Linked DNA regions of Rhinolophus ferrumequinum. The protein of the gene in region 1 binds, or shares a complex with, the protein of each later gene. Links are inferred from orthologs where the notes say so. Each region holds a gene or a part of one and is shown in the gene's direction. Other genes may lie near its edges. The genes, in order: NUP214, NUP85, CETN3 and CETN2.

Region 1 (7,665 bases):
GAGAGGGGAGGAGGGAGCTGGAGGTGCAAATCTGGATCTCAGAGATAAGCTGTTTGTGGACTGTCACCCTTTGGATGGGATGTAAAGCCAATGACTGGAAGAGCCCACCCAGGGAGTGACTACAGATGGAGTAGGGCACTGATGCTTGGAGCAGCTCCCGACGTCAACACTTCGGGCACCCCCACTTCCGGATGGAAACACAGCATCCGTGGGGTTAAGTGTCTTCCTGGAGTCACGAGCTGGGACGGTAGCTGGGCTGGGACTCCAATCCAGGCTGTTTCCCTCCAGAGGCTGCACCATAAACCCCTGTGCCCTACACCCCCCGACTTGACCCTCGGAGCAGTGGGAGGTTTTGAAGCTCCAAAGGGGTTGTGAGCAGAGCCGTGGCCCAGCCTAGCTCTGCCTCCTCCAGGCAGCGTGGTTAGGGGAAGGTGCATGGCCTGGAAGTCAGAGATCTAGGCTCTCATCCTGCTTGGACTGCTTGTGGCTCTGAGGAGTCATGTCGCCACTTTGCGCCATTTTCTCCTCTGTCAAATGGGACTAGGAGTCCCTTCCATGCAGCTGCCATCCTAGGCTTCCGAGAAGATCCTGCTGGAGAATGGATGAAGGGCATTCTGCTGAGGACTTTGCGGACGTGAGGGCTGGGTGAGCTTTCCCTGGGTGAGGGGAGGAATCCTAATCTTGTTTCGTTTTGTGTTTTTTTTTCCATCTCTAAACCAGAGTCATGATGTTTGAAGGAAAGGCCACCGAGAGCAGTCCCAAGCCAGTCGGTCCCCCTCCAGAGAGAGACATTGCCAGCCTGCCCTGAGGACCCCGCGGGGACCTGTCCCTGCCCTCCCTGCCCCACCCCTCCCTCCTGATCTTGCTGCACTTCTGGACTCATTGCAATGTCTTTTTTTTTTTCCTGGTTGTTGGGCATGATTGTTTTTTCATCTGCAGAATCTGATCTCTTTGTAAAGCACAAATGATCTGCCTTAAAGGGGCTCTGGGGCCCCTCCCTCTCTTCTTCCCTCCTTCCCCACTCCCTGTGCAGAAGGGCTGACATCAAACCAAAAACCGGAAGTGGCGGGGCCAGGGCAGGGAAGCTGGAAGCCTGTGATCCCCACACTTGGAGCCGGCATTGTCCATCCTTGCTGGAGGTCACTGAGCTAAGTCCAGGCTCGCTGGCCTGGCTCTGGTGAGGACCTCAGCCCACTTTCAGAAGACCCTGGAGTAGGGACGAGGCTGCAGGGCCTCACTAGGGTTTCCTCAGATGCTCTGAAGTTCCGGTGCTCTCAGGTTGTCCAGGACGTGGCCACTCACTGCCCCAGCTGATCCCCGCTCGGGCCACACTTCTTCTCGCCCTTAATGAGGTGCAGAAGGAGACAAGGAGAGGGGCTTGGTAATTGGAGACCCTCAAGAAGGTTCTGGAAGGAATCTTCTGGCCTTACCCCTTGTCCACACCTTCATAGACAGCTCAGAGGGAGCCCTGTCCCTTGCTGGGGCAGCAGAGGGCTTCAGAGGTAGAGGGGAGGCCAGGGGCCTTGGGGAGCGGGGTTCAGCTCAGTCTAGTCCCACCTTTTAGGAGGATGCTGAGGGCAACAGGCTAGGGGAATGAGGAATAAAATGTTCACGGCAAAAAGTCAGCACCACTGTTAAGCCAAGAACTGAGACACAGGAGGTTGCCTTTCTGATCCCAGTCTGCTTGAAAACCGACTGCTTCCCCCACGACCTGCCCAACTTACTCAGACCATTCATTTACTCAGTCATTCAACAGATATTTATTGACCATCTATTATAAGCTTTAAGGCCGGCCCCCTCCACTTTGTCCTGACATGTGCTGTGTCCACTGTCTCTAACTCATTTCCCCATTTCCAAATCGCCCAAAACCCTTGAGCATGGGGATTCCATTGGGGTCACCTGTGTCCCTTATTATGGACTCACAGGGTCTTAGAGGTCTGATCCCCCTGTAGGTTAGCTGGGCCAGTCCTCACATTTCACAGGTAAGGAAACTGTGGTGGCCCCCAGGGATTAAGTGCCTGGCCCAAGGTTAGGAGTTAATCGAGATGGAAGAGTCTGGACTGAAGCCCAGGTGTTCAGATGGCCTGCCCGTGCATCACCTCTGCTCGGGGCTGCTTCCGTCAGTGAGGAAAACAAGGGAAGGGGCAGGGCGAGGCTATTTCCTAGGACAGCACTTGGGGCGGGGCCTGGGCCAGGACTCACCTTTTCCAGTGCCTCTGAGTTAGCAGCAGGATCAGGGGACAGGCCAGGCCTGCCTCTGCGGTTCCGCCTTCCCCAGGGCTTCTGAGCTAAGCCACTTCTCAGAACTCACGCAGGAAGCTGTCACACTCGGCCCCATCTTGGCTGAGCAGGGACCCCAGCCTTGACCGCACCTGTGTTCTGGAGCCCCTTACCCTGCCTGCTCAGGACTTAGAAGCAATCATCAGTTGGACATATTTGTTAAGCACCTGCTATGGGCCGAGAGCTAAGAACCCAGTCATGAAATAGACAGTTACGTGAAATTTAAGAGCCTAGTGAGGAAGTCAGACTCGGACAAGGACGAGTTAGATGAAAGGAAAGGGGGGCCATGGGGTGACTGCACTGCAATCCTGGGGAGACCAAGATGGGCTCAAGACTGAGCAAGAGCCTTGCAAAAGCATTTGCCAAACCTTAAGTGGAAATGTCTGGGTACTGTTAGAGCCACGGTGGGCTCTCTGTGGCTCCTCAGTGACCCACAATCAAAGACCCAAGGAGCTGCCTTACAGCAGCTTAAGGGAGTGGAGCAGGTCGGGGATGGGGTAAGGGCCAGGCTGGGATAATTTGCTGGTCTCAACCAGTTCAGGAGCAAGACTACCTGGCCGTGGCTGGTTGGTCCTTAGGCTAAGGAGCTGCTCAAATGCACAGGCCTAGTTGAAGTTTAAACCCCAGCAAAACAGTTTTCCCTGTAAATGTAAAATCTCACCCCACCCCCTTCCCTGCCTTGGTTTTTTTCCACCCGAGATCATTATTTGAGCAACTGCCTGTCCCCACCCCTTCCCACTACGTCTCCTCTCTAGGACACGACGAGACCTTTGAGCAAGGTCAAGTCTTGACTCCCCGTCACATCGTCAGTGTACTTGGTCCTCACTCAGAGAGGAGGGCACAACCAACCAGGCTTATTTTCCACAGGTTCCCCAGTTTACAAGGCCATGGGAAGCCTTAAGGGGGAGCGAGTGGGTGTGTCCCCAGCTTCTGGAAAGAGCAGGACAGAGCGTTCATTGGATAGGAGTATCCTGGGACACCACACAAGTTCCTTTGCCATTTCTTGGAACTCAGCTGGTGGAGGGAGAGGGGCTTGAGTGGTTTCTGGAAAGGGGGGGGCGCTGCATATATTTCAGGTTGTGGCTGTTGGCCCTGGGACTCTTACTTCTCTGGCTAAGGGCTCATTTTCTTAGAATTTCAGCTATCTCTCTGAAAGACCAAATCTAACTAATGTAACCAGAAACTTGGGGATTGCCAAGTGTGGCTTTGTCCCTGCAACTCAAAAGGAAGGAGTGTGTGGGGCAAGTTCAAGTGGATGCAGTATGTGTGCGCGTGCGTATGAGAGTGTGTGGTGCCAGATACCATCTCTGCACACTGGGAATAAAACAGACAAACTGTCAATGTCTTGATTGGTGTATTTGGGGGAGGGGTTCTGGGACTCAGCAAATTCAGGAAAGCTACCTGATAAAGTACCATTGAACGAATGCGTCCTGTGTAGCAGGCTCTGTTAAGCTCTAACTTCATTTACTTCTCACGACCACCCCACGAGACAGGTTGTTTGTCATCCTCGTTTTACAAATGAGAAGCAGCCTTGAAGCAGATGCGCAATTTGCTGAAAACCAAACAGTCCGTGGCAGACTATGGCCCCTACTTCAAGTTAAGCACCTCTGTCCTAGAGCATTTAAGATATAAATCCACTGCAGCAATGCGTACATAACAGTCATCAGTGAGCACCCAGACAAGCTGAATTCTAATCCAGCCTCCACCGCTTTGCGACCACGGGGCGCGGGGTGGTTTTCTTACGTTCCCTGCTGCTTCGTCCCCTCGTCAGTTAAACGGCAGTAATAACTCCTGGGGGACCAGGACGTCTTCAAGAGTAAAGAACACATCCAAAGTGTGTTGCGCTTTCCAGGCTCTTGCTTCGGAAATGATTACCTTGACAGGAATAAACAAAGACGACCTCTGGTGCCTTTTAACCTCCCCTTTTTCAGCGTTCGTGCTTAGACGCAGAAGTCTCCCGTGGCGAGGCCCCAACCCACGCACTTTCTGAACCCCTTTTCCTCCACAACCCCCTCCAAAGCCTCTCTCAAGAGCTTCCCCTGGAAATATTTATCAAGTCCCAACTTCTCTGAATCAAGAACTATTAATCGCCACCTCCATCCCAAGGTTACTGTGGGGTCTCCACGGAACACTGAGCGTGGAGCGCTCAAGCATGCGCAGTCCGATGGAAAAAAACCCAACACCAAGCAAACTCGTTCTGGTTGCGGACGCGGGGGGCGGGGCCTGGACGCTCCAGGGCGCAGGCGCGCGGGCCGAGCCGGCCAATGGGAGGCGGCGGCCTCGGGAGCGCGCGACTTCATATACTCCCTCAGCCTCCTCGACCCGCAACGCCCACCGAAATGCGTGACGCCATTTACGCGCGCCGGAAGTTCGGGCCTCGCTGCGCGCCGCTAGCGCTGAAGGAAGGAAGTTGGCGTTGGAGCGGCCTGGGCTGTGTGGGCAAGGCCGCGGGCAGCTGCGGCTGCTGCTACGACCAGCTGAGTCCGGCGCGATGGGAGACGAGATGGATGCCATGATCCCCGAGCGGGAGATGAAGGTCAGATACTGGCCGGGGCCTTCGCGTTGCCTTGGAGCCCCGCTGAACGGCGAAGCGCGGGTGCCGGCTGCCCCGCCTCCCGCTTGAACTTTCCCGGCGTTCAGAGTTCTCACCTACGCGTCCTGGAGCACTCTGCGGTGCCGCCGGCGTGTTCGCCCCGCCGAGTGCAGTGTCCCCTTCCCTGGGTGGTCTTGTGCGCTCCACCTCAGTTTCTCTAGCTACTTTAATATGGTGGTCGGAGTAGCGGTAATAATTGCTGTTTATTGAGCGTTTACTGTGAGCCAGGCACTGGGGTAATCACACAGCAACCCTACGAAATAGTTAATATAAAGATGCAAGTCAAGGTTCGGAAGGTAACTTACCCAAAATCGCATTTGACGAGGAGGCTGTAATGCAGGTGTGTTTTGTAAGACCCTCTCTTCACTCTCATTGTCTTACTTCTGTAAGGTTCTCCGGGCTTGTCTGATGCAGAGCCGGGGTTCATCACCTATCCTACAAAATCTAGTTCGTTAGAATAGGAGGACTGTTCTGGTACTGGAAGTCTGCTTGAAGTCGGGAAACTAAGGAGAGGGGCACGTGATCCCAATGATGTGATGGTTACAAGCACCTGAAAGGGAGTAAGTTGCGGAAGATGTTAGGCATTCGAACAGCAAATCACTGAAATACGTTTAGAGAGTAGTGACTCTCTCTTCCTTCTTGAGAATCACTGCCTGAGTGAACCACCCAATGAGAAGGTGCCGTATTCCTCAGACACGCTGGGGCTGAAGGAAAAAAGGTTTTAGAACCACAGACTTAGAAGATGGTAGTGTCCCTTTAAGTTGCTGATTACAACAGAAAGGAGAGCACTCTGGTGCCTTTTCATCTCACTGGCCCTCCACCCCATGTGACCAAGACCCAAATAGGATATTTGGGATTATCAGGATGAGAGTCACAAAAACAGACCGAAAAATTTTATTTTACTTCTGTTTGAAACCATAGATAGTATGGTTTCACCTGGAAAACTATGTGTGTGTTTTTGATCATCGTGCTCAGTTGGAATTAAGAGTATTTCAGTTAATCTTTTAGCAAATGTGCATTAAACATCGAATCCATTGGAAATTTGTATGGGGTGTGTTAGGGATCCTGTATGAAACACCGTAAGTGTACAAAAGTGAAAGCTGATAATGGCTCTCTTTCGCTTTTACAGTTTTGGAATGTAAGCAAAAGGGGATTTGCAGTCTTTTCACCCAAACCTCAACTTAAGGATAGGTATATAATTGAAGAAAAAAAATTCAACCACATATAGCACACCTTAACATAGTGATTTGGTAAACTTACGGAACTCTTTTTTTACCAAGAGGTTCTGCGCGCTGAAAATTGTCTTTGGAAGCATGTAGATAAATTCATGGAAGACTACGCGAGTCGGGCATTGACAGGAGGTTGGGGAATGTTCCCAGGCCCTGAGTTACTAAGGAGCCTGAAAATGGAAGGAAATGAAAACTGGATAGACATGGGGCCGGGAGGTGGCAGTGGATGTGGCAGAGGTGATGTCGCACGCACTTGCAGAAGGGAAGCAGTGTTGTAAGGTGAGGCTCCAGAGGCGGATGGGTCAAGTCGGCCTTACAGCCTGTGTTAAGGATTTTGCACCTGTGTGTAAATGTCCTCATGGCATCCAGGTGTGTTTTCAGGTCTTGAACACCAAGAGATTGACCATGCATATCCTTTTTGTGTTTAACATTTGATGCAGGTAGGTCATTTCTTGGGATTCGGTTATCTTTCTGTGGTCATTGTTTACACACACACACACACACATTTGTTGAGTACTGCAGTAGAAGTTTGAGCCTACAGTGTAGTTGGATGATGCTTTGAATATTTAACAGCTTTTAAAGCACTACTCGGTCATGAGACAATACATACCATGAACTAAGACAAGGTAGTAAATAACAAAGTGCAGCTTGGATGGTGGTTAAGACAATAAACTAGGAATTCAGAAAAGGACAAGGTCACCGTGAGTTGAATTAGTCAAGGATAGAATCTTTAGAAATTTATTCCATTGAATAAATATTAATAAGCGCTATGCCACGTACCACAATACGCATGGGCAGCTTATAAATGGCTTGGTCATACAGTCCTTGGTCTCGGGAATAGGTGTTTTGGTTGTACTGGAATTGGATCTACTGTAATATGATGACAGACATGATTTAACTTCCTGTTTTCCCTGAACTGATCTTGTTTTGATCCCTCACAACAGGATTTTCAGTTTAGAGCACTGAAAAAAGTGAGAATCTTTGACTCCCCTGAGGAGTTGCCCAAGGAGCGCTGCAGTCTGCTTGCCCTGTCCAACAAGTATGGCCTGGTCTTCGCTGGAGGAGCCAGTGGGTTGCAAGTTTTTACTACTAAAAATCTTCTTATTCAAAATAAACCTGGAGACGATCCCAATAAGATAGGTAAGTTACTTGCTTTATGTTGCATAGTAGAGAGAGGAGTATAATGAAGTGCTAACGTAGTTTCCTTCCCGAGAAATCATTCTAATATTAAAGTTAAAACTGCTGCCAGTCCTGAGGTTGACCCCCAAGAAGAGTAAGTTCTAGGTCGGAGGCTGGAAGCCTGTCTGGTTGTTCTCTTTAGTCCTTTGTATTTCTCTTTCAATGAGTTGTTCCTCTGACCTCAGAGGGAAGGAGAATGGACCATTCTGCCATGTATTTATTTTTGCTCAGTTGAACTTGGGTTCCCTGGCTCTCTAAGGGAAGGGTTTTGGGGCACGGCCTTTTCGTTGGCTCAACACTACCATCTAAACAAATAGGAACGTGTATTATTGGGAGCATTGTTGCCAAAATATGGGTGCATGTTGGCAATATTGTGATTTACAA
Region 2 (7,454 bases), on another chromosome or scaffold:
CTAGAAATCTAATAAAATATCAATAACGTGTTACAAGTAGAGAGTAAGAATAGGGTGAATCATCCAGAATGTACTCCTCAGGGTCAGGTGTCAAAGAAAAAACATCATTCTTAAAAGGTACAGGAAAACAAGAATCACTGAATCTGTTTAGAACTTGAAATCCTTGTCAAAAATCCCCGAGAAACACATGAACTGAATCTATAACACAGATGTCTAAACTGTGGGTAGTTTATCAAATTTCCTTCAGGTTCTATCTAAAGTAAGCTGAGAACTTGAGCTGTCTCTGTGAATACTGCAGGAATATGGAATACTGAATTCCTGAGTACAGCAAGAAATCTGGAGGCAGAATGGTGATGTCGTAGAAACCTTCCAGCTTTCTATTGCTGGGTCATGGCAAAGAAGATGGGGCCCAAGTTTCTGCCAGCAGTCAAAGCCAAGAACCTGGTATGAAACGTATGAACACATTTGAAATGTGTCAGCTGGTGTATAAAATGTAGGGAAGTATCATCCCATTTCACAATACCATACATTCATTGAATGTACACATTGCACATACTTACAGAAGGGTCCTTTAAACTTTTTGAGAGCAGGGATTATTGTTTTTCATCTTCATAATCTCAGCAAATAACTAAGTCCCGAGAGCTGGTGATCAATAAGAGTTCACTGACTTATTGATGCAATAGTAACATAGTCCTTATCATGAGAATGCCAAAAATGCCTAAATTAGGGTTTCTGAATTCCTGTTAGTTATGTAGTCTTTACATTGGAATGATGATTTCAAGTTCTTCTAACCCCATTAATGCTCCAATCTTACTTCTCTGTCCATTACTAGATTCAAGTAGGTCTCAGTGACTCAAGGATGTTTGTTTCATAGAATGAATGAGAACAAACTGAACTAAGCTTATATTCTGCAGCTGTGCCAAATATAGATAATATTTGCACTCTTCAAGTTCTTGTGATTGATTACTCCCCACTGAGGTAGAAAAGATAGAGTTGGAAGGATGGTTCTTAAAGGATGGTCCCTTGGGCAATATCACTTCCACTTAGAAAGGTCAGGAGGACAAATACCTGAGCCCCACCCCAACCTACTGAATTAGAAGCTCTGGGGACAGAGCCCAGGAATCACTCAATTAATGGTTTAACAAGCCCTCTAGATAATTATGAAGTTCCCTAAAGTTTGAAAACCACAAGGCTAGAGCAGCTTTTACACCTTCAATAAGAAATATGTCACATATTTCTCAACTTGAAGTCTCATGTGGCCAGATATACATTAGTAGGACTATAAAGCAGGTTTTCACAAACATGGTCTTATGTAGTATCTCTATATGTATTAAAAACTTCAATGAAACATTTTTTAAATAAAAATTTTTACTTCATATTCCCATAACACCTGTCTCAATTTTATTTTCTAACTTTTATCCACACGTAAATTTCTTTACATTAATTGTCGAAATATACAATTTTTCGTTTGCTCTTAAAAACTGAAAATTATGTGGTAAACATGCCTACTTTTTCTGATTTTAAGAGTAATAATACTCATTTCTGCCAATCTTTTTCTCTACATATTATTTTTTACAAAATTGATAAAACTTTTAACAAAATTTTACTACATTTTACCTTTATAAAATTTTGCTACAGTTATCTTTTAATGATTGCACATTAATTTTAATGATTGCTGTGAGACTTTGTTTTTTGGTTATTCAAAATGTCCCTCTTATTTCCTAAAAATACAATTATGGAGACAAAAAGGTGAACATTTTAAAATTTCTTGAAAGACTTTCCCATATTCTTATCAGTCTTCATAGTTCTTCTCAATAGGTGAATATCTCACTGATATATTGTCTTCCTCTATTCCTCAATGGATGAACATCTATGACAGTTCTTAGCACGGGTGATTTTACCCCTAGGGGATACTGGGAATATCTAGAGACATTTTTGGTTGTCAACAATCATTAAAAGGTATGAATGGTATCTAGTGGACAGAGGCCAGGGATTCTGCAAAACATCCTGTAAGGCACAGGACAGCTCACAATATAGAATTATCAGGCCCAAAACGTCAATAGGGTGGGATTTGAGAAATTTTGTTGTTATCTATATAGCACTTACCAAAATTCACATACCTTTTGTGTTTTGAAATTATTAGAAATAAAAGTTCAAGTGAGGACTTACTGGATCAAAGTGCATAAATATTTCTATGGCTCCTGATAATAGATTTCTACCTTGTTTTCCAAACTTATTATGTCTCTTGAAATGATTATGTATTTATTTCTCTGCAGGCTACGGAGCATTGGTTCTACTAGAATGAATTAAATGCATCCAATTAGCACTTTACATATGGCATATCTCTAGCACAGTTCCTCTGGCTTCATCTGAGAATGATTCTAAGTTTGACTTTGGAGTGATTTAAAGTAAGTTCTAGTTTGACTCTTGTGCGATAGGTATGTTTTGTTTTAGGAGATTTTTGATTCCAGAAATATTATACTCTTTCTGTCTTCCTAGGGTTCTGATATACCTCAAGTTGAAGTGTCTCCTGCATGATTGAAGACTCTCCAGAGTAGATACAGGAATTCCAGAGTTAAACAACCACTCTAGGGAGAGGAGGAGGGAGAGTGAAAGGAGGGGGATAAAGGGGGAGAGAAGGAGCTTGTGAAGAGGTTAAGAGAAAAAGATTTGTGTACTGGTTATTTTTTTTTTTCCCAAATGTATTCCTTTAGGCTCATCTGTTAAAAAAAAAAAAAAAAAAAAAAAAAAGGATAAACTACTTCATTGAAACCCCATTCTTGGAAGACTATTGAGAAGGACCAGAAGGAAGAAAATGATCTATGTATAGAATAATAACTCTATTAGCTGTAGTTTTCTTTTTTTCCCCAATTAATGAATGTATTTGAATGATTGTGTAAGGTTGCTTGTATATAATGGTATTAGAACAAAGAATAGTTTCAATACTTTTTTCCAATATTATCTATCGCTAGGTCAGTTTCAATACTTCTGTTATCTTCAAATGACATTATGTCAGTCTTAAAATATCAAAAAACTATACTACTAAAATTTTCTAAGCTCCTTTGTTGTTCAAATTATTTTTTTCTCAGGTCTCCTTTAGAGAAGATGGTTTTTCTTTTTGGTCTTTCATCCTATTATTTTTTTCCTTTCCTTCTACTCATCCTGTTCCCCAGAATAATTAATAATTTTCTCTGAAGGAAATTAGGCATATTTTCTATCAGTGTCTTAAGCTTTGCTTTAACTTCTGCTGCTCAAATAATTTTGAGTCGCCAGAGCAGATATAATAACTAGTTTTTTTAAACTGATCTATTTGCTACTGTTTATTTTACTTTTGTAAAATATTAGGCCTCTTTTTACCTCTTAAGGATAGGGACATAAATGCATAATTTCTCATACTTCATAGCCACACTATTGGTGCCAGAACACTTGGATCAGTGAAAATGTGAAACATTTGGAAAATGCACCAAGCTATAGATGGTAGAAGTGTGGAGTTTTGTGCAAAACTACATTAAATGTCATCCTATTGATGGCTGTCTTAAGAGATAAGGATTTGGATGAAATTGTGATAGCCACAGGATTTTCCTTCCTGAATTTGTACCTAAATAGAAAAAACTGTTGGTGTGAGATTTTCCTAACCACTCCAAGTCATCTCATTTCAACCAATTCAAATAGGTCATTCAGAGTAATCTCAGGGAAAGAACTGTTTCCCCGGGTAAAAAACTGAAACTTGATTTTCAGATCAAGTATCTTTCCCCAAAAAAAGAAGCTGTTACATTTTCAGGCACTGTTTCCTAAGACTTATTTTTTAATTTCGAATTATCTTCAGTTAGTTAAAAAAAAAAAAGTGCTTATTTGGGAATGTAAAACCAGCACTATTCTCTTCTGTGTGTGTGTGTGTGTGTGTACGTATTTGTAAATATGGCATTTACAAAATAAATAACTCCTTTAAGTTACTAGAGCACTAGTAACTTAAATGAGTTTCCCATTAACAAGACCGGGATTCTCTGACTGTGGTTTTTTTTCCTTTTCCTGCTTTTCTTTGGTGAGATAACAAACCAGTATTTGTGTTGAGTTAAGCAAGCCCAGCTGTCCCGATTTCACAGTTGTCGGGCTGCATCACTTTTGTCCGCGTGCTGCTTGAGCGTTTTGGGGTGGGAGTTGGCAGCGACTGCCTCCGTCCACAAGCCCGATAGACCGGGGATCCCTTGCCCTGGACACCGCTCACAGAAGCGGCCGAGACAACACTGAGCTGCAGACTCAGAAGCCGCAAGGAAAGCCAGAGTGGGGACAGGCGGTACGCTCGCTCGAGCCCGGCCCCCGCCGCCTCTCCACGCAGAGTGGCCACCCCAGCCCGCGCACGCGCAGCCGCCCCGCCACCGCTCCCGCCGTCTCCAGGGGCTTTCTCCCCGCCCCGCGTGGGGCTGTCCCCGGCGGCGCCTGATCTGGCGAGAAGGTTCCTCTGAGGATCGGCTGCCCCTGGCGCCGGTTTCCCTGACGTGTTGTCGAGGCCGCGAAGGAAGAACACGAGTAGAGTGCCGTAGAGGGGTGGCCGTGGCCGAGAGGAGACGCCCCTGCAGCGTTGGTGATCTGGGCCTGCAGGCAGTGCAGGAGGGGGCTCGGGTCGGGTCCTCTCTTGCAGCGGCTCTGAGCGGGAGGCCCGAGCCGGGAGCTGTGCTGGCCTCGCGACCTCCCGGCAGCTGAGCTGCGGCGCTATGGAGGAGCTCGATGGCGAGCCGACAGTCACTGTAAGGGCGCCCCAAAGAGCCTGGTTTGCCCTCGCGGCCCAAGGATTGAGTCTGCTTCATCACTGCAGGCTTGTCTACCTCCCTGCCTCCCGGGAGGCGCCCGCCCCCTTCTCTCAGCTCAGTTGCCACCATCCGGAGGTCACATTAATTAGCTGCCCGTGTTTGGATCGCAGTGGTCGCTGGGTTTCTGCTGCTTCGTATGCTCAGAATACCTGGCCCCAGAGGCCTCACTCCGTCCCTCTCCCTCCCTCGTCTTTGCGCCTTTCTATTCCGCTCGCTTTTCTCGTTGGGCTAATGCTCTAAAGAGCGCGCTTGGACTCGGCAGAAGAATTGGGGCTTTTTTCCTTCCAGCCGAACTTAGCTTCACATCGCAGCGCCGTGAGCTTGGCTTCTGCTTGTGCTGCGCTTGCCTAAGGTTTACTAAACGAATTTATTCTCTCGGGGGACTATCTCCTTTTTATATTTTGCTTTCAATTTGATCTGAACTCTGAAGACAGTATGTCAACTGCTGCAGATCCAGGATTTTAAAAGAAATTCATAGCCTGTAGATATAAAATACCTACCGTTCCCCCTGCCTGGAATGCTCGTTTCTTCTCTCATCTCCAGCTCGTTTTTTAAATGCAAGCTCCGGCAGCTTGTGTCTTAGGAAAGCCTTCCCTAACCTCCCTAACTACGTCCGACACCTCTACCCATTGTGGGCTGCTTCTGCACGTCTTAGCTCTGGAAGCCCCACTAAACTGAAAGTTGCTATACCTTGTGCTTTTGCTTTCTAGATAGTTGAGATGCCTACAGTTTTTAGCCAAAGACATCAGATTGCAAAGCAGTGTCCGACAATACAAAAAATTGAAAATAGGGGTCATTTCAAAGCTGACTGGACAAAAGGAGGCATGAGATCTTAAATAGCAATTAACATGGGTTGTTATGCTCTTTAAAGCTTACTGCTGTAGAATGTTCCAATTTAATACCTATACAGAGTACTTTAAATATTAACTATCCATCAAGGACTGTGTCAGTGTTTGTGGGAAGACAAATTAGAACATCAGAGTCACTGGAACTTTTTCAAACTTTCCCTCTCTCACTTGTGTTAGACTCCTTGGGTCGGGGGAGCCTTCCTAGTACCCTGTGGTGCCCTGGAGAGCCACTGCTTTGATACTGTGCCTTGATAAAGAGCTTCATTACAGATGGAATGAAGATGATCTCAGCTTACTTATTTTTATACCCAGTAGTGATGATGGACTTGTGATAACCCCAGCTCTATATTCGTGCTGGGGAGACCAGGTAGAAAACTGGTTGGCCTCATGGGCACACACAGGAGGGGCATTGTAGTCCAGAGTCTGAAGCTCACCTCTGCGAGTTTAAACGCTGTCATGTCTGTTTTTGAGTGTTCATCTGCCTTTGGGGTTTACTCTAAACACATTCTCAAGAGACTGATGAATAATTGTGAATACCATTAAGTCACCCTTTATGGCAGTTGTATCCGCTTTTCACACAACTGCTCCCTATTGTCAAGGCACCTGAAGTCCAGTTAGTAACTGGCAGATTCGAGGATATTTAAATGTAGATTCAAAGTAGGTAGAATAATCTTGAGTAGTTTTTCTAGACCACTGGTCTTCTTTTCCTTTTGGTTCAAGAGCTCTTAAAAAGTGTAAGTTACAGTTTTCATTGTCTTTTTTGTTTTGTTTAATTCCAGATACATACCTAAAAGGAGAATTGCTGGGTTATAGGACAGATGCATATTTAGCTAAAATAAGCTCAGTTTTCCAAAGTGGTTGTACAGTTCTTTTTGCAGCAGCAAAGTCTGAGAGTTCCAGTTGTTTCTCATCCTCATCAATTCTTTGTATGATCAGTCTTTTTAATTTTCATTTCCATTCCAGTGGGTATTTAGTGGTAGCTCGTTATTTTCATTTGTATTTCCCTAATGAGTATCTTTTCACGGGCTTATATGTCATTTGTATATCTTCTTTGGTGAAGTGTGTGTTAAAAATCTTTTGCCCATTTTGTTACTGGGTTGTTTCACTAATGAAATGTAAGAATTCTTTATATATTCTGGATATCAAATACGTGTTTTGCACATATTTTCTCCCAGTCTACGGCTTGCCTTTTCATTTTCTTAACAGTATCTTATGAAGAGCAAAAATTTTAATTTTGTTGAAGTGCAGTTTATACATTTTTCTTATGCTATAGCTTATGCTTTTTGTGTCCTATATACATCTTTGCTTACTTTCAGGTCAGAAAGATTTTCTACTATGTTTTTCAAGTTTTATAGATTTTGCTCTACATTTGAGTCTGTGACTAATTTTTAGTGAATTTTTGTCTATGGTGTGAGGTTCATTTTTGCATATGGATACCCATTTGTTCCAGCACCATTATGTACAAATAATGCTTCCTCCTTGCCCGCCCTACTCATCCAATACGAGTCTGCTAAAACAGATTCTGTTCTGTGTGTACCTCAGACTTAGCATACTTCCCCTTTTCTGACTGCCTGTTTGTTTATTGGTCTCCGTCAGGAGACCACTAGCTTTTGGAGGACACAGACTGTGGTACACATTGTTGTATTCCTAGAGCCCAGCACAGAAAAAGGCTTAATACACATTGCTTAGTTGTTGAATGACCGCGTTAGCCTTTCCTAAGAACTGAATGCACTTAACTTGTCTTGAGACAAGACTATTGACGAGACTATTGCCAGCCAAATTCGTTGTCTGCCTAAAG
Region 3 (7,144 bases), on another chromosome or scaffold:
ATGAGACTGGTAAAACCCTGCAGCAAAATTCCATTTTCCTTTAGGGACCACAAAGTCATCTGTGTGGTGTTACTTTGGAAATATATGAAGATACAGTTCTCCATCACAAATTGATGACCCTACAATTTTTTATGCAATTACCTTACCTCCAATCCCATTCTTTTAATTTGTGTGCTTGTTTACTTTGCTTAATGTAGTCTTTGCCATACAGAAATGTTTCATTCTCCTTTAGTAGGATCTGTTAATATTTTCTTATTGCATTAGTCTTCTAGGACTACCATGACAAAATACCACAGATTGGGTGACTTAAACAACAGAAACTTATTTACAGTTCTGGAAGCTGGAAGTTGAAGATCAAGGTGCCAGCAGAGTTAGTTTCTCTGGAGGCCTCCCTCCTTGTCTTGCAGATGGCTGCCTTCTTGCTGTGTCCTCACATGGCCTTTTTACTCTGTGTGCGCACATTCCTTAGTGTTTCTACCTCTTATTTTAAGTACATAAGTTCTGTTGGGTTATGACCTCATGAAACTTAATTACCTCTTTAAAAGTCCTATCTCCAAATACAGTCACATTGGAGGTTCAAAATTCAACATATGAATTTTGGGGAGACACAAATTTGTTAAGAGAAAATGTGAGAATTTTAATTTCAATTATATTAAATGTACAGATTAATCTAGGATATAATCAACATTTTTACAATATCAAATCTTCCTAACTAGGACCTTCTTGGTTAATTTATTAAAAGCTCATGTACTTTAGTATTAGGTTGGTGCAAAAGTAATTGTGGTATAAAAGGTTAATAATAAATGCAAAAAACACAATTACTTTTGCACCAACCTAATAAAATTTTGTGATTTTTCTACCTACTGATCCTACAAATTTCCTGTTAAATTTATATGTAGGAATTTCATATTGCTATTATTTTATGATGTAAATGCTCACTGATTTTGCAAATTTTTCTGAAAACAGCTACTTTATTGAATTCTTTTATCAATTCCAATAGTTTGATACTCTTGGATTTTTCCAGGTAATCATATCACCCACACATAATTTTATATATCATATCTTTTTCTTGTTTTATTACATCATCGATTAGAAGTTCAAAGATAGTGTTGATAACTGCTTTAATAGTGCCTGTGGCAGAGCTGCTAATCCTATCTTATTTTTAGTTATTGATGATCTGACCACAAATTTTAGCAGGGCACATGGTTTTACAGCTAGAGAATTTTTTCCCCAGTCTCCCTTATAGCAAGGAGTGGTCACTAAATCTCACTAATAAAATATGAGCAGAAGTGATGCATGTTCACTTCTTAGTCATTCCCCTAATAGGAAATCCTGTTGAAAACATTTTAGTTTAACATTTAAAAATCAGTTTCCCTAAATTATTTTCTTATGAAACCCATTCTTCATGAAATGACTATATCTCACAAAATTCTAGTATTTCATGGATCAAAACTGAGAAACACTACCATTTTATTAAGTATATTGTTCAATTTAACAAAGTACCTTCTACACCTGGTTTATTAATATACATTTTATTAGGAATAGATGTTGAATATTTCTAGTGCCTTTTAGGACATTGAGATGATCTCCTTAAACTACAGTTATGATTAATTAATATAGACTTCTATTTTGAATTATCTTTGCATTTTAAAAATACATCCTATTTGGTTATAGTTCCTTTAAGGCAATACCAAATTGATTTTTGCCAACATCTAGAATTTTTTACACATATGTTCACTAATTAACATCAAACATGAGCGAGGCACATACAATGGTGGGCAACATGCCCACATTCTCAACATGGAGCATACATTCAGTAATTTTAAATGCTTTTTAGGATGCTAAGTGTTATGCTACCTTCAAAAATTAAGCTAAGATGCTTTCTATCATGCTTTGAGTTTAAAGCACAATAATCAGCTTTTCAAGGATTTTTAAAACTTATCCATAAATCTGACTGGGTTCAATGGATGCCTTTTTATTTTGTGGTACAGAACTTTGGCATCATTTTTTCAGTCTTATCTATAGTTATTGACTTAATTTAGTTTTCTGGTCTTTTTTTTTTTTTTTGAGTCCTTATCTTTGTTTTCCTTGAAAAGTGACTTTCATTTTGATATTAATATTTATTGGCAATATTTCAATAATTTTGAAACCTCTTTTAAACTACCAACCTTATTAATGGCAGTATTCCCTTGATTGTTACACTTCCATAAATGTCAATTTTATTGGTATTGCCAAGAACCATGTTATGAGAATACCCTACACATTTATTAACAATTGTCTTTTTAAAATTTGTGTTCTAATTCGTTTGTCATTATCTTTAGTAATTTCTTCTCATTTCAAGTAGTTGATTTTGTTCTTCACTTCTAACTACTTCAAATAAATACCTGGTTTATTTTCAATTTTTCTTATTTAATAATTTTCTTCTACAGCTTGGTCTATGCCTTACAATTTTACTATGTAGTTTTTTCATTGTCATTAACTTCTAGTGTGTAGAGATGGTCCATGACTAAGATGTTTCAATTCAGGATATTCAAACTTTATGATGATGTGAAAAGTGATGTGCATCCCGTAGAAACCATACTTCAAATTTTGACCTTTTCCAGGGTAACCTATAAGCAGTATGATACTGTCAGGAGGCTGGACACTGGCAGAATTCTGCAGCTCCCAGTCAGACAGGGAATCACGAGGGTAAACAACTAATACTCTACAGTGAACTTCATTGTCAGTGTTTTTTTGGATATCATGTTCTGAGCACAGTTAATGTACAGCAGACTAAGCTATGATGTTCGGTAGGTTACATGTATTAAATGCATTTTCAACTTAACGATACTTTCAATTTACCATGGGTTTACCTGGATGTAACCCAATCAAAAGTTGAGAATCATCTGTAATTGCAATTTTACTTTCCTTTTAAACTCAAAGGTGATTTATAAAGGTACTTTAAAATGTAAAGTTTTCTGCTTTTGTTTTTTTGGGGGGAGGAAGGGAAATGCTTTAGTTATTTTCAGCTTTATTCGATCATACTATCTTTACTTGTTCCAATTTAGCTCATCTTCCTAGGCCTAATATATATGTAATCTGCAAGAAGTCTTTCTTCTACCCTGCCTGTTCTCTCCCTTCTCTAAACCTTTATACATATCACTTTATACGCACACCATGGTGTTTATATATTTTCCCACCGCCCACCCCGCTAGATCTTCACCCTCAGGCTCTTTATTCCTTTGAGATTTGTAATTTAGTTCAGCACTTTGTGAGTTTTCACAGCAAGACTCCACTCAATGAGCAAGTATTTATTGAGCACCTACGTATGCCCCATTGTTAGGCACTGGGAAGAGCATTAAATGAAAGATATAATCCTGGCCTTCAAGAAATTCAGCATAAGAGATGAACAACTAAACATATTAAATACCAAGTGAACTTCGAGAGACTTGGTGTGGTAGGGGAGATAACGTGTACAAGCAGCTTACAGCACTGGAAATAAAGGGCAAAAGTGAACAAATCCGTCCAAAGGAGGAAGGGGGGCAAAAGGGTGTTTAGATACAGCTTCACCGTAAACAGGTTAATAATCCAACACAGTGATTATTCACATATATATAATCCATAGAACCTGCCTCAGAATCACTAGGATAGTTTGTAAGGAGAGAGGGGGAAAAAAAAAAAGCTGATTCACAATCATTGGCATCAGAATGGGGGTAAGGGGCATTTAAATTTGCGTTTTAAACAAACTCCTGTACTTAGGCCTTCCAAGTTTATGGAATACAGAAGAACTAACTTTCGCAGACCTCTTCCCAGAGGACAGCCTGCAGCGTGTCTCTTCTCTTCCCACCCTTTCCTTCCCTCGTCGCTGTCCGTCTTGTCTCCGGACAATCGCCCACAGTCCAAGGCCACCTCCCGCGAGGTGAGGGCCACCCACCCATCCCCGGGACCACCACGCAGGGACTCAAATCCTCGCTCCGCAAAGGATTCGGGGAAAACGCAACGGGCCAATCTAAAGCGCGAAAGAAACAGCTGGAGAGGCCCGCGGAGAGATTTATTTGATTGACGCGGAATGTGCCCAATGAGAGCAGAGGACTAGTGATGCCTCCACCTCAATGGGCATGGCATTAGCAATTTCAACCAATCCGGCTCGGAAGTGTCTACCTTGTGGGAGGTCCTCAAGGCCGCTGAGGTCGTTGGTGTGTGTTGAACAGCTTGTGGAAGTCGTGCTTCTTTGGGTAGGAGGTTAAAGTCGTTCTTGAGAGGAACGTCTCTGTCCGAAGAGAAAATGAGTTTAGCTCTGAGGTCGGTAATGAGGAGGCGGGAATGCACTCCACAGCCCGCAGCGGGCCCCAGGGCGGGTGTGTGTGGAAGGGAAACAGTTTGGGGCCGAGGCGAGGAAGGGGTTGCAATTTGGGAAGAGGGAAAGGAGCCTCGGCCAACCTTCCCGGGCCCGGACTCCTCAGCCTCCGAGCCCAGGTGTGCTGCAGGTGATGAGTCCAGTGCATTTCTGCCGACGTGGTCATACCTGTTAGCGCCTTGGCTTTTGGACCGCCTAAGAGATGGCAGCTGTTTTAGTTCCAAGGAGGCAGGGAAATATCGCGAGGTTTTTAGCGTTTCTGCGAGAAATCAGGCCCTGGAGCATCTCTTCCTTCAGTTCCTCCTTGGTATACGGCCCCCACCTCAGCTGCACTGCTCCTGACATAATGTATATTTTGGAAATAACAAAACTCCTTCTTGCTCTTCTCCTGGGGCCCTGATCTACGGTTATTTGGAGACCCCAATTACCTACATTTCTTGAGTTTCTTTACCTTTCATTCAGTTCCACCTTGTAATCCTCTGTTGGTTGCCCCCTCCCCTAGCCTCATCTACTGGGGAGCCAAAAAATGTATACACATGACTTGTATTTATGTTCAGTTATTGGTATATATTGAGTATTACAATTTTAATACAGTTTTTTTCCTTTCTTAAAATGTGTATACCTTTTTTGGCAACATCTGGAGATGTTTTACCTTAAAAATAATTATATAGTTACACCACTCTTAAAAAGGTGTTGTGTTCTGCTATGGGATAATGGTGGTATATCTTTGGATGGGGTCAGTTGTCTGTCGATTGTGGACTTGGCAGCTTTGAATCGTGGGAAGAAAATTACTCCAGTAATGTTCAAGCTGGTGTGAAGTCTGGGCTCTTGTGAAAGATCTTCAGCTTTATCCTACCTCTTCTAGTCATCTCTTGCCTTTGTTTTTCTTTTTATAGATTTCAGAGAACACCTTCAAATGCGAATAGATCACGTGTTCTAATAAAATCAACTGGGTTTTACATTTTAAAGTTTTATAGAATTTTCTGTTTTAAAACTGCTACAAGTGTTGCAGCCCCATTTGAAAACTTAGAACGCTTAGGTTGATTGGCATCTCTTAAGGAAGACATTTCTGGCTTTTAAATTTCCTTTTAAAAGTTTTTTCCAGAGTTTATGAGAAATTAAATCTACATTTACATGTTAAGTGAGACTTGACCATTGACTCTTCATATTATTATGTAGAATTAGCACAAATTTTATGTAACTTTTGGAGTTTAATAGTAGTGATATCTTTAGACTCAATATTTTGACTTATTTGTTAATGTCGGTGGAAGAAATTATAAAGCGCCAAACTTAGAAATGAGTAATCTAAAAACATTTCTAACCTACAATGCCAAAAGACTTTTTAAGTTAATTGATAAATTACACGTTTTTTGATAGTAATTTTGATAACAATTATAAGCACTATCAAAAGTAAACCAAGTATATCGTGATTGTCAATTATAAATTTTACTTTCTTTTTTAAAAAACACTTTATGTTGTAGAATGATTTGAATAATAAGTATGTTTTTTATAATAAATTTGTTTTTTTGTTGGGGTTTCTGACATAAAGGAATGTTTCTTATTCACAGTTCTTGCTTTGTCCACAGTAACATTTGTGGGAATAAATACAAAGCTAGGAAGAAGGAAAGTTAGGTCCTCATTTTTTATTTTTTAATAAGCTGTAGCATTATTAAAATTTTTTTTAATAAGTTTGGGGAAGTGCAAGTTTATAGCAGCTCAAACTATGCAATGATCAAGGCTTTGACTCATGTAAGGATACTTTATCAGTCTCCAGATACATCTTTTAAGAAATTTAGAAAATTATTCACTGGTTAAATTTTTTGGTTGCATTTTTGAAATCTTAATCATCTACAGGCATTAGGAGAATAGGATTTAAATAGACTAAATAAAGTGCACTAAATAGGATTTAAGTGGACTAAACTTTATTCTTTTCATTTCATAGAAATGAACTTGTAGTAGACAAAACAAAGAGGAAAAAAAGAAGAGAACTCTCTGAAGAACAGAAACAAGAAATCAAAGATGCTTTTGAACTATTTGACACCGACAAAGATGAAGCAATAGATTATCATGAATTAAAGGTAGTAGTATACTTTAAAATGTAGTATATTTTTTTCTGTAAAAATGCTTTGCATTTTTGACAGTTGGTTAAAAATACATTTCTAAATAAGTATTTTAACTAAACTGTTTTGGAAATTTGAAACCCTTTTAAACATTCACAGTTAAGTGCTATAATAAAATTGAATAGTACTCTAACATATTCTAAAATAAACTCCTTTTCATGGTAAAATGAATAGCATTTTAAATGTGAAAAATATATTGCTATGGAGGGGCTTATTTTTTTATTTGCATAATTGAATTTTTTCAAACTACAGGATGTAAGCCGTTTTTACTGTATTCTTCTCCCCACTTTTTTTTTTGAGACGTTCTTTTTTCCAGTTGGGGGAGTGTTATTTATCTTTTAATTTGAACATTTTCGTAACAGTTTCAACCTACCTTCTCTGGTGCAAACAACATACATGATGTGTGATGTTGACCCAATGATAAATGGGGAAAAATGTCTCCTTTAAGGCTTAGAATTACTTATAAAGATAACGGGAAATTAGTGTTTGGGTAGTATGGATCTGACACTCAGCACAGTGAAAAACCTTTTTTGTAGCTCTTTAGCTCTTTTTCCAGCTTTTTTAAGTTTTTCTTTTATAATGTCTCTTTCATTTGTTGCCACTGTTTTTATCTTGGTTTGGGATCTTATTTCATACCTGGAGCTTCCTAAATGGTTTCTCCATTTCTAGTTCATCTTGTACACTACCA
Region 4 (7,061 bases), on another chromosome or scaffold:
AGGACATGACGCTATGGGACACGAGAACCTTGGGAAGATTATGCTAAGTGGACAAGCCAGACACAAAAGAACAAATACTGTACAATGAGTACTCAAATTCACAGACAGAAAGCAGCATGGTGGGTGCCAGTGGCGGGGGGAATCGGGGAGTGACTGCTTAGTAGCTATAGAGTTTCAGTTCTACAAGATGAAAAGAGTTCCGGAGATGGACAGTGGTGATGGTCGCACAACACTGTGAATCAACTTAATGCCACTGAACTATACACTTGAAAATGGCTAAAATGGCCAATTTTCAGTTCTGTCTATTTTACCACGCATACACTTAGAAGAACAGCTCTGGATGGAAAAATAAGACCCCAAAGAGCAATGTTCTAAGGACTGGGCTTGTTAAGGTTCACAAATCAGAAGCCTGAAGTCTTTCTCCTTTAAGACGGTAGGTCTTGGAATCCATTAAAAACCAGTAATGCATGCCCTCTTACACACACTGGGACAAAGTCTTAGGCGGAAAGGAATCTAGGAAAAGAGAACCACCTTCCACTGGTGAAATCCGAATGCCTCGCTCAACTTCTGGGCAAAAAGAGGAGGGCCGCTAACAGAATTCGATGAAGAGAGGAGCGAGTGAACCCAATCTCCTCCTTCCTGCTGGGAAAAGTTCCACATTACTGAGTCCCGGAGACAAAAGGAAGGGATAGTCTGTCCATTTCAAACCAGAGAGAGAAAGACGAGTGTTCCCTCCTTGTCTTTCACAGACCTGAGGTATGTGCAGGTTTCTGTCTATCATTTGTCTCTCTGCTTGTCTATTCGCTTGTATGACAAGTGACTTTGAATTTGTGGTGGCCACGGAGAAACCCATCAGCATGACTGTGAGCTTTAGCGTATACTGTTCCCTCCCCTCTCTGTGGTAAGACCTTTCTCATCCTTCAAGGCCTAGCTCCACTGTCACCTCCGTAAAACCTCCCCCCTCCAGGAAAGCTTAGCTACTTCCTTAGCACCTGTGTCTGCTCCCATTCTAGCACATCGCACAGGATTATACTTTTTTCCCCCCATATCTGTCTTGGCCCACTAGGCTGTGAGCGTCTGGAGTGCCAGCAAAGAATCGGGAATGGAATCTGGGTTGAACTGTGCTGCTGCGGCTGGTCTAAGAGGCTTCATCTGTAGAGCAGTAATCTCTCCTGCCGTCCTCAGAGCTGCTGTGGGGCCCAAACAAGCCCCACGGGTTAGAGCGGAGATGCAGCTTGTGAAAGAGCCTCAGGGTATCAGCTCGCTCATTCCTACATTCCATCATTCACAGGGCACCACAAGCCGGACACCGCCAAGCAGAACCTGCGTTAACACAGGGAGCTCGCCACCTAGCGTGGGAGACACACCTAGCAGAGCACTGTAGAAGTGCCCCTGAGCTCTGCTGAGGATAAACCCAGGTCAGGGAGCCTGTCCCAGAAGGCGATCCCTGAACTGAGCTCTCAAGGCCCCAGAGGAGTGAGTTAAGCGGAGAGGGTGGGTGCCCGGAAAACATTCCATGGCCCGGGGTGGGAAGGATGAGGTGACAGAGCACAGAGCCAGCATGTCTGGCAACTACGACAAGCTGTGTCATGGCAAGTGTGAAGCAAGATTGGGAGCAAAGTTGGGGAACACGCAGGGCTGTTTGTCAGGTTAAGGAGTTACCCAAGGAGGAGATGGGGAGCCCCTGGAAGTTGTAAGCAGCGTGAGTGAAGAGATCAGAAATATCCCTCTGGCTGCAGTGTGAAGGGATTTTAGCCATGGCTAAGCCTCCAGCCTCCAGGTAGGTGGAATGACAAGAACAAATCAGAGAAGAGAACTGATATTGCCTGAAAACCTGCTGTCAGGCCCTTGTACATATGACCATATTATACCATTAAGATCCAAAAAGTATCTAGTTAGGGAGACAGTAGTGGTCTCATTCAATAGAGTCTCAGAGAGGTCAACCAACTTGCCCAAAGTCACACAGCTCCTATAGGCCAAGGTAGAACTTGTGGTGGTTCCTTCTCCTCTGCCATGCTGCCACCTGCAGTCTGACTGGGAAGTAGGGTGTGGAGGGACACGATGTTAGAAGGACTAACGGGCAAAACAGGGCAGGCGGCTCGGATGCCAGGCTGAGTCTGGACTTTACTCTGTAGTCATGGGAAGCCACCGAAGGTTTAAAAGCATGGGGTGACCTGGCCAGAGCTGTTCACTGGGAAGATTAACCTGGCAAAGCAGGGAAGACTAGACAGGTGAGAAGCAGGAAACGGGGGGACTACTCACCAGTCTTTCAATTGAGATTTACTGAGCACCTAATATGTGCCCATCACTGTTGCTGGTCCTGGAGTGCTAGCAGTGAACAAAACAAAGATGTCTGCCCTTACTGAGCTTACCTTCTACTGGATGGACAATAAAGAACATAGCAAATAAGTAAAATATACCATAGGTTAGAAGGTGATAAGCACTATGGGGGAAAAAGCAGAGCAAGGTGGGTGGGGGCCTTGGGTGTGCTGGGGGCTGCAGTGCTAAATAGGCTGCTTAGGATGGCTCACTGAGCAAGGACCTGGTGCAGGGAAAGAGGTGGACCAAGCAGGCAGAAAAGGCACAGCCGGCGCAGAAGTTCTAAGATAGGAGTCTGCCTGTGCATTTGAGGCCCAGCAAGGAAGCCAATGTCCCGGGGCTGGAGGAGCCAGGGGAGACGTGGGGGCATGTCATACCAGGCCTTGCAGACCAAGGGGAGAACTTGAGCTTGAACTAGTTGGGAGTGGAGCAACAGAGGTGGAAAAGAAAATAAATGGCAGATAAGGGGGAGAACTGATAGAACTTGGAGGCTGGTTAATGGGGGAGGGAACAGAAAAAGAAAGGATCAAATATAACCAAAAGGTTTGGGACCTGGTTCGTGCTCGAAGGGGAAGAGGGCAAAGGGCAGAAGATCGGTGAACATTTTCATTTAAGGAATGCTAATAAACCTCAGGCCTTTCTTGGCCTGAGAAACTTATGCTGTGTCCCCTGCCTGCCTAAATACTGCCCCACTGCCCAGAGGGGAAGCAGGTAAATGCTGAGAGCCACAGAGCGCTCTTAGGCGGGGCGGACCTGGGCCTGCAGCTCCACTGCCGCAGCTCCATTTCAGCCCAAACCCTTGCACACGCCCCCTTGTAATTCTCCAAGCATGCCTCACACTTCCAAAACTCCTCTGCTACTTTGCTCATGAAGGTATCTCGGCCTGGAATGCCCTTCCTTTTCCGCCTTTGACTGGATGTCAGAGCATTTTGATGACCTCTCCCCCTCATGCTCACTCGTATCTCCTTCACTCCCTTCAAAGTCTATTCACCTTCCTGGGCTGCTTTTAGCTAGGGGAGAACTCAAATGATCCTCTCTTGGAACGTGGTCTGGGGGGCGGATGCTCTCAAAGGGACACCCTCAAAGAGCCACAGCTGGATTCAGCTTCTAAGTTTCAGCTGTCCGGACCTGTGCCACAATGCTTGCCATGTCCCTTTCCTTTTTCTGGGTCTCAGTCGCTCTGTGAGTAGCCGGCGCTCACCACCGCGGACACACTCCGCCGCCCATTGTTGCTACAGCCGACGTACACACACAACTCAGAGCAGTTCCCACCGACCCGCGCGGGCCGCCGCGCTCTCCATAGGTGACCTGTAAAGTTATGATCTTCTCTGACTCCTCTGAGTCCCTCTGACTCTAACTCAGTCTTAGGCCAGAGCAGAAAGCCCCGACCCGGATCGCCCCACCCAGCCCCTTGCCCTCCCGCCCAGTTGCCTACATAAGGCGGCCTCCAGGGGCTCGGAGGCGACACTTACCTGTCCCTAGATGTCCCACTGACCGGCCTCAGCGCGCCCGCAGCCAGCACCCGCCAAGCTCCCGCAGCTCGCCGCCCTTTTCTCCCCGCCCGCCTGAGCTGATGATCGCCCGACGGTCCTCCACTACCCCGACTGGCTCGGCTTGGCGTTGGCTCAGCCAATCAACTCTCGCGGCGCGATCCAGCCCAATGAGGCCAGGGCTCGGCTGCCTGAGCGCGCTCCCCGCCCTGATCCGGGCCTTTGTCGGTGTACTCCCACCCCCTCCAGCCCTGCGCCAATGGTGAGCGGCGGCAGCGAGCGGGTCAGTGCGCGCGGGTCGGTGGGAATTGCGCCCAGGCTGTGTGTACGTCTGTTGCCGTAACAACGGGCGGAGCAGTCTGTCGGCGATGGTGAGTGCCAGCTGCCCTGTCGCGCCCCTTGCCCAGAGGCCGAGCCCTTCTGACCCCGCCACCTCTCCTGCACCGTTCTCGGCTTTGGTGCGCCCCTGCTTCTATGATGTGTTTCCCGGAAGGGCTGGGAAGAGATGCCAGCCACCCTGCTGGGCCTGTGATTCGCCACTGCCTCCCCTGCACCCACAGCCGGCCCCCACCCGCCCTTCGGGCTCCCCTGGCCTTCCCTGCCCCCTCGGTTACCGGTTCCTGGGTGAAGAAGACTCAGGTTCCCCGCAGGGTCTGACCCCTCTCAGACCGTGGTCTCCTGGCCGCCTTGTGCGACCAAAGTTTCCGCACAATGCCGGGGGCGGGGGGGGGGGAGGTTTACGACGTTGGATTGTTAACTTGCATTTTAAATTTTAAGTATCGGGCCATTTGGGAGACGCATTGAGCTTTTTGGGGAAAGCACAGATGAGCCAAGTGGATTGAATTTTATTATTCGATATTGACAGAATATGCATCTTAATAACTTAGTAATATTTGGCTAAATCTAGAAGTAGTCACAAAGTCAGAATACTTAGAGGGAAGCGGAGTACCGCGAGTGGGCATTGTAAGGACATTTCTAGAATTAGGATCCCCAAATTCAGGGAGAGTTTATTATCTGTCCAGTTATTCATACTCCGCTCCTTGGCTAGCTAGCTCTCTTTACGGATGATTTCAATAAGGGATGTCCTTGTTTCTAGAAACAATATAAAGAAGAGGAAAGGGATAGAGCTACATGGAAAGATTCTTTGTTTTGCCCAGTAAACCCTACTATCTCTCCAGTTAAGCAAAGCTTCAGGATTGGTTGGTATAAACTATTTTTAAAACAGATATGGTTGTCTCTAACGATTTTATGCAAAATATGGACTGTGGTACATAATATGGTGCTTATGTGTTTGTAAAATGTCTAAAGGCCTCGAACTTTAAGAAGGCAAACATGGCATCAACTACCCAGCGAAAAAGGATGAGTCCTAAGCCAGAGCTTACTGAAGAGCAGACACAGGAAATCCGGGAAGCTTTTGATCTCTTCGATGCTGACGGAACTGGGACTATAGATATTAAGGAACTTAAGGCAAGCCCTGTGCAATCCTACTCGCTGCCTTGCCTTTCCTCTGCCTCTTTGGCTTTTTTCCCTGTCACTGCTCTACCCCTTCTGCCCTCTTCTCCCTGCAAAAAGTAACAAGGGGAGAATGTGCTGTGCTCTGTTTTCCTGTCTTTACTTACCCCAAGTGTTATTAAGTAAAATGAGTGCAAATATCAATTTGCTTAATGCTCCAGTGTTTCCCAATTATTTTCATGTGATTGTGTCAGGTGCTGGCTTAATGCTCTCAACATTCATTTTTGCTCCTGCTCGGTTTCGATGAGCATATTGAGATGATCCTCTTTTCATTGTAGGTGGCAATGAGGGCCCTGGGCTTCGAACCCAAGAAAGAGGAGATCAAGAAAATGATAAGTGAAATTGATAAGGAAGGGACAGGAAAAATGAACTTTAGTAAGTTTCTGACTGTGATGACTCAGAAAATGGTAAGTTAGCTAAGAAAATCAGCATATTTCCCACCCATAATGGACAAATTTGAATCTCGATATGAAAATGTCTTCATTGAAGGAAAGTTAATACAAACTAGAGAGTTCAGCTGATAAAAGATAGTATTTGTGACTGAGAATTAAGATGTTTTTGGTTCTGCTTGGCTTTCTTGAGGGCCACAAAATCACAGGAAAAGTAATTTTACCCTCTGTAAAGTAGTGAACGTATACTGCTGTCACATTTTTGCTATTGTCTTTCCCCAACTGAATTGTCAATGTGATAACCACAAGCAGTAAAACCTATACACGCCAACAGCATTACAGTGTCTCGCATTTTGATAAGACAAAGTTCCTATATTTTAAAGTTTGAAATTCTTTTCTTTCCCATTTGTTATTCTGGGCAGCCTTAGCTTGAGGATGTGTAACTTCAGCAACCATGCTTTTAGGCTGCGCTGGGGATTTGATCTTTCAGCACTTCCAAGGTTAAGTTTACCCATTCTCTAGTGTCTCCGGTGTCCCTCTTTTAAAGGGTCCAAAGGGTCAAGACAGACTATAAGATGTCACCCCAGCAGCCCACCTCACTGCCCTGTCATCCCACCCAGGAAGTATGTTTCCATTGGGCCATTGCTCTTTCTTTGGCCTCCTGGCTCTTCCTCAGTGTGGCTCACCTGTGCTCCACTGGTCTGTCGAGACAGATACTGAGTAGTAACTCCATCAGTGTCTCAGGTGTGTTTCACAGGGCACAGATCGGTTCCTACTCTAATAACTCTGTTGCTTTGAAATCATCTAATTATACCTATATTTTTCTTCATGGACTAACTTAAGAGATCAGAAAGCTTAACATTCTGTCACTACCTAGTAAAGCTGTCCCACATTCAAGGGTGTTCCCGAATTGCTCTTATTAGGGGTTCTCTCTATCTTTAGCTACCTTTCAGGAATATTGGGAGTTTGAGCTTTTAGCGATTTTCCTCTCTTCCTCTGTTGGAGGACTTGGGATCCCAGTAACGCTATATGATCTCATCACAAGTAAAACAGCCTTCTCTTTGCTTCTTGACCCCTCCACCAAGAGGATCCCTCTTCCATCAGCTTAAGGAGTATATTCTCCCCGATGTGAACTCCACCTTCTTCTGTATTTTAAAAACGAATCCAGTTTCTCTTTGGTTTGTACAGAAAGAATGATGTTTGATCTCCTGTGACCTAGGACCTCTGTCATAAAGACCACCACCATGACCACGTAATGATGTAGGGGCAAGGCAGAGAGGCTAGGCGCTGTGGGGCTACAGGACTAGTCACTGCGGTGTTTCCCTACTCATATGTTTTATGTTCTACTTGT

Evidence for each region.
Region 2: NUP214 (region 1) and NUP85 share a complex: the UniProt entries of both Homo sapiens proteins name them as parts of the nuclear pore complex. The link is inferred for Rhinolophus ferrumequinum from reciprocal best matches to the Homo sapiens genes NUP214 and NUP85.
Region 3: NUP214 (region 1) and CETN3 share a complex: the UniProt entries of both Homo sapiens proteins name them as parts of the nuclear pore complex. The link is inferred for Rhinolophus ferrumequinum from reciprocal best matches to the Homo sapiens genes NUP214 and CETN3.
Region 4: NUP214 (region 1) and CETN2 share a complex: the UniProt entries of both Homo sapiens proteins name them as parts of the nuclear pore complex. The link is inferred for Rhinolophus ferrumequinum from reciprocal best matches to the Homo sapiens genes NUP214 and CETN2.

The regions. Positions count from the first base shown.
Region 1 is NC_046295.1:79,177,404-79,185,068, forward strand, and holds the start of NUP214 (nuclear pore complex protein Nup214), read left to right. Parts: upstream 1-4,657; 5' UTR 4,658-4,771; coding exon 4,772-4,816; intron 4,817-7,046; coding exon 7,047-7,242; intron 7,243-7,665. Other genes in the region: AIF1L (allograft inflammatory factor 1-like), read left to right, coding at 721-808. UniProt on the Homo sapiens protein: Part of the nuclear pore complex. Has a critical role in nucleocytoplasmic transport.
Region 2 is NC_046304.1:50,237,900-50,245,353, forward strand, and holds the start of NUP85 (nuclear pore complex protein Nup85), read left to right. Parts: upstream 1-4,440; 5' UTR 4,441-4,712; coding exon 4,713-4,745; intron 4,746-7,454. UniProt on the Homo sapiens protein: Essential component of the nuclear pore complex (NPC) that seems to be required for NPC assembly and maintenance. As part of the NPC Nup107-160 subcomplex plays a role in RNA export and in tethering NUP96/Nup98 and NUP153 to the nucleus.
Region 3 is NC_046290.1:59,221,853-59,228,996, reverse strand, and holds the start of CETN3 (centrin-3), read left to right. Parts: upstream 1-4,142; 5' UTR 4,143-4,264; coding exon 4,265-4,281; intron 4,282-6,278; coding exon 6,279-6,414; intron 6,415-7,144. UniProt on the Homo sapiens protein: Plays a fundamental role in microtubule-organizing center structure and function. As a component of the TREX-2 complex, involved in the export of mRNAs to the cytoplasm through the nuclear pores.
Region 4 is NC_046284.1:7,308,822-7,315,882, forward strand, and holds the start of CETN2 (centrin-2), read left to right. Parts: upstream 1-4,040; 5' UTR 4,041-4,177; coding exon 4,178-4,180; intron 4,181-4,910; exon of another isoform or gene 4,911-5,008; intron 5,009-5,117; coding exon 5,118-5,276; intron 5,277-5,599; coding exon 5,600-5,728; intron 5,729-7,061. UniProt on the Homo sapiens protein: Plays a fundamental role in microtubule organizing center structure and function. Required for centriole duplication and correct spindle formation. Has a role in regulating cytokinesis and genome stability via cooperation with CALM1 and CCP110.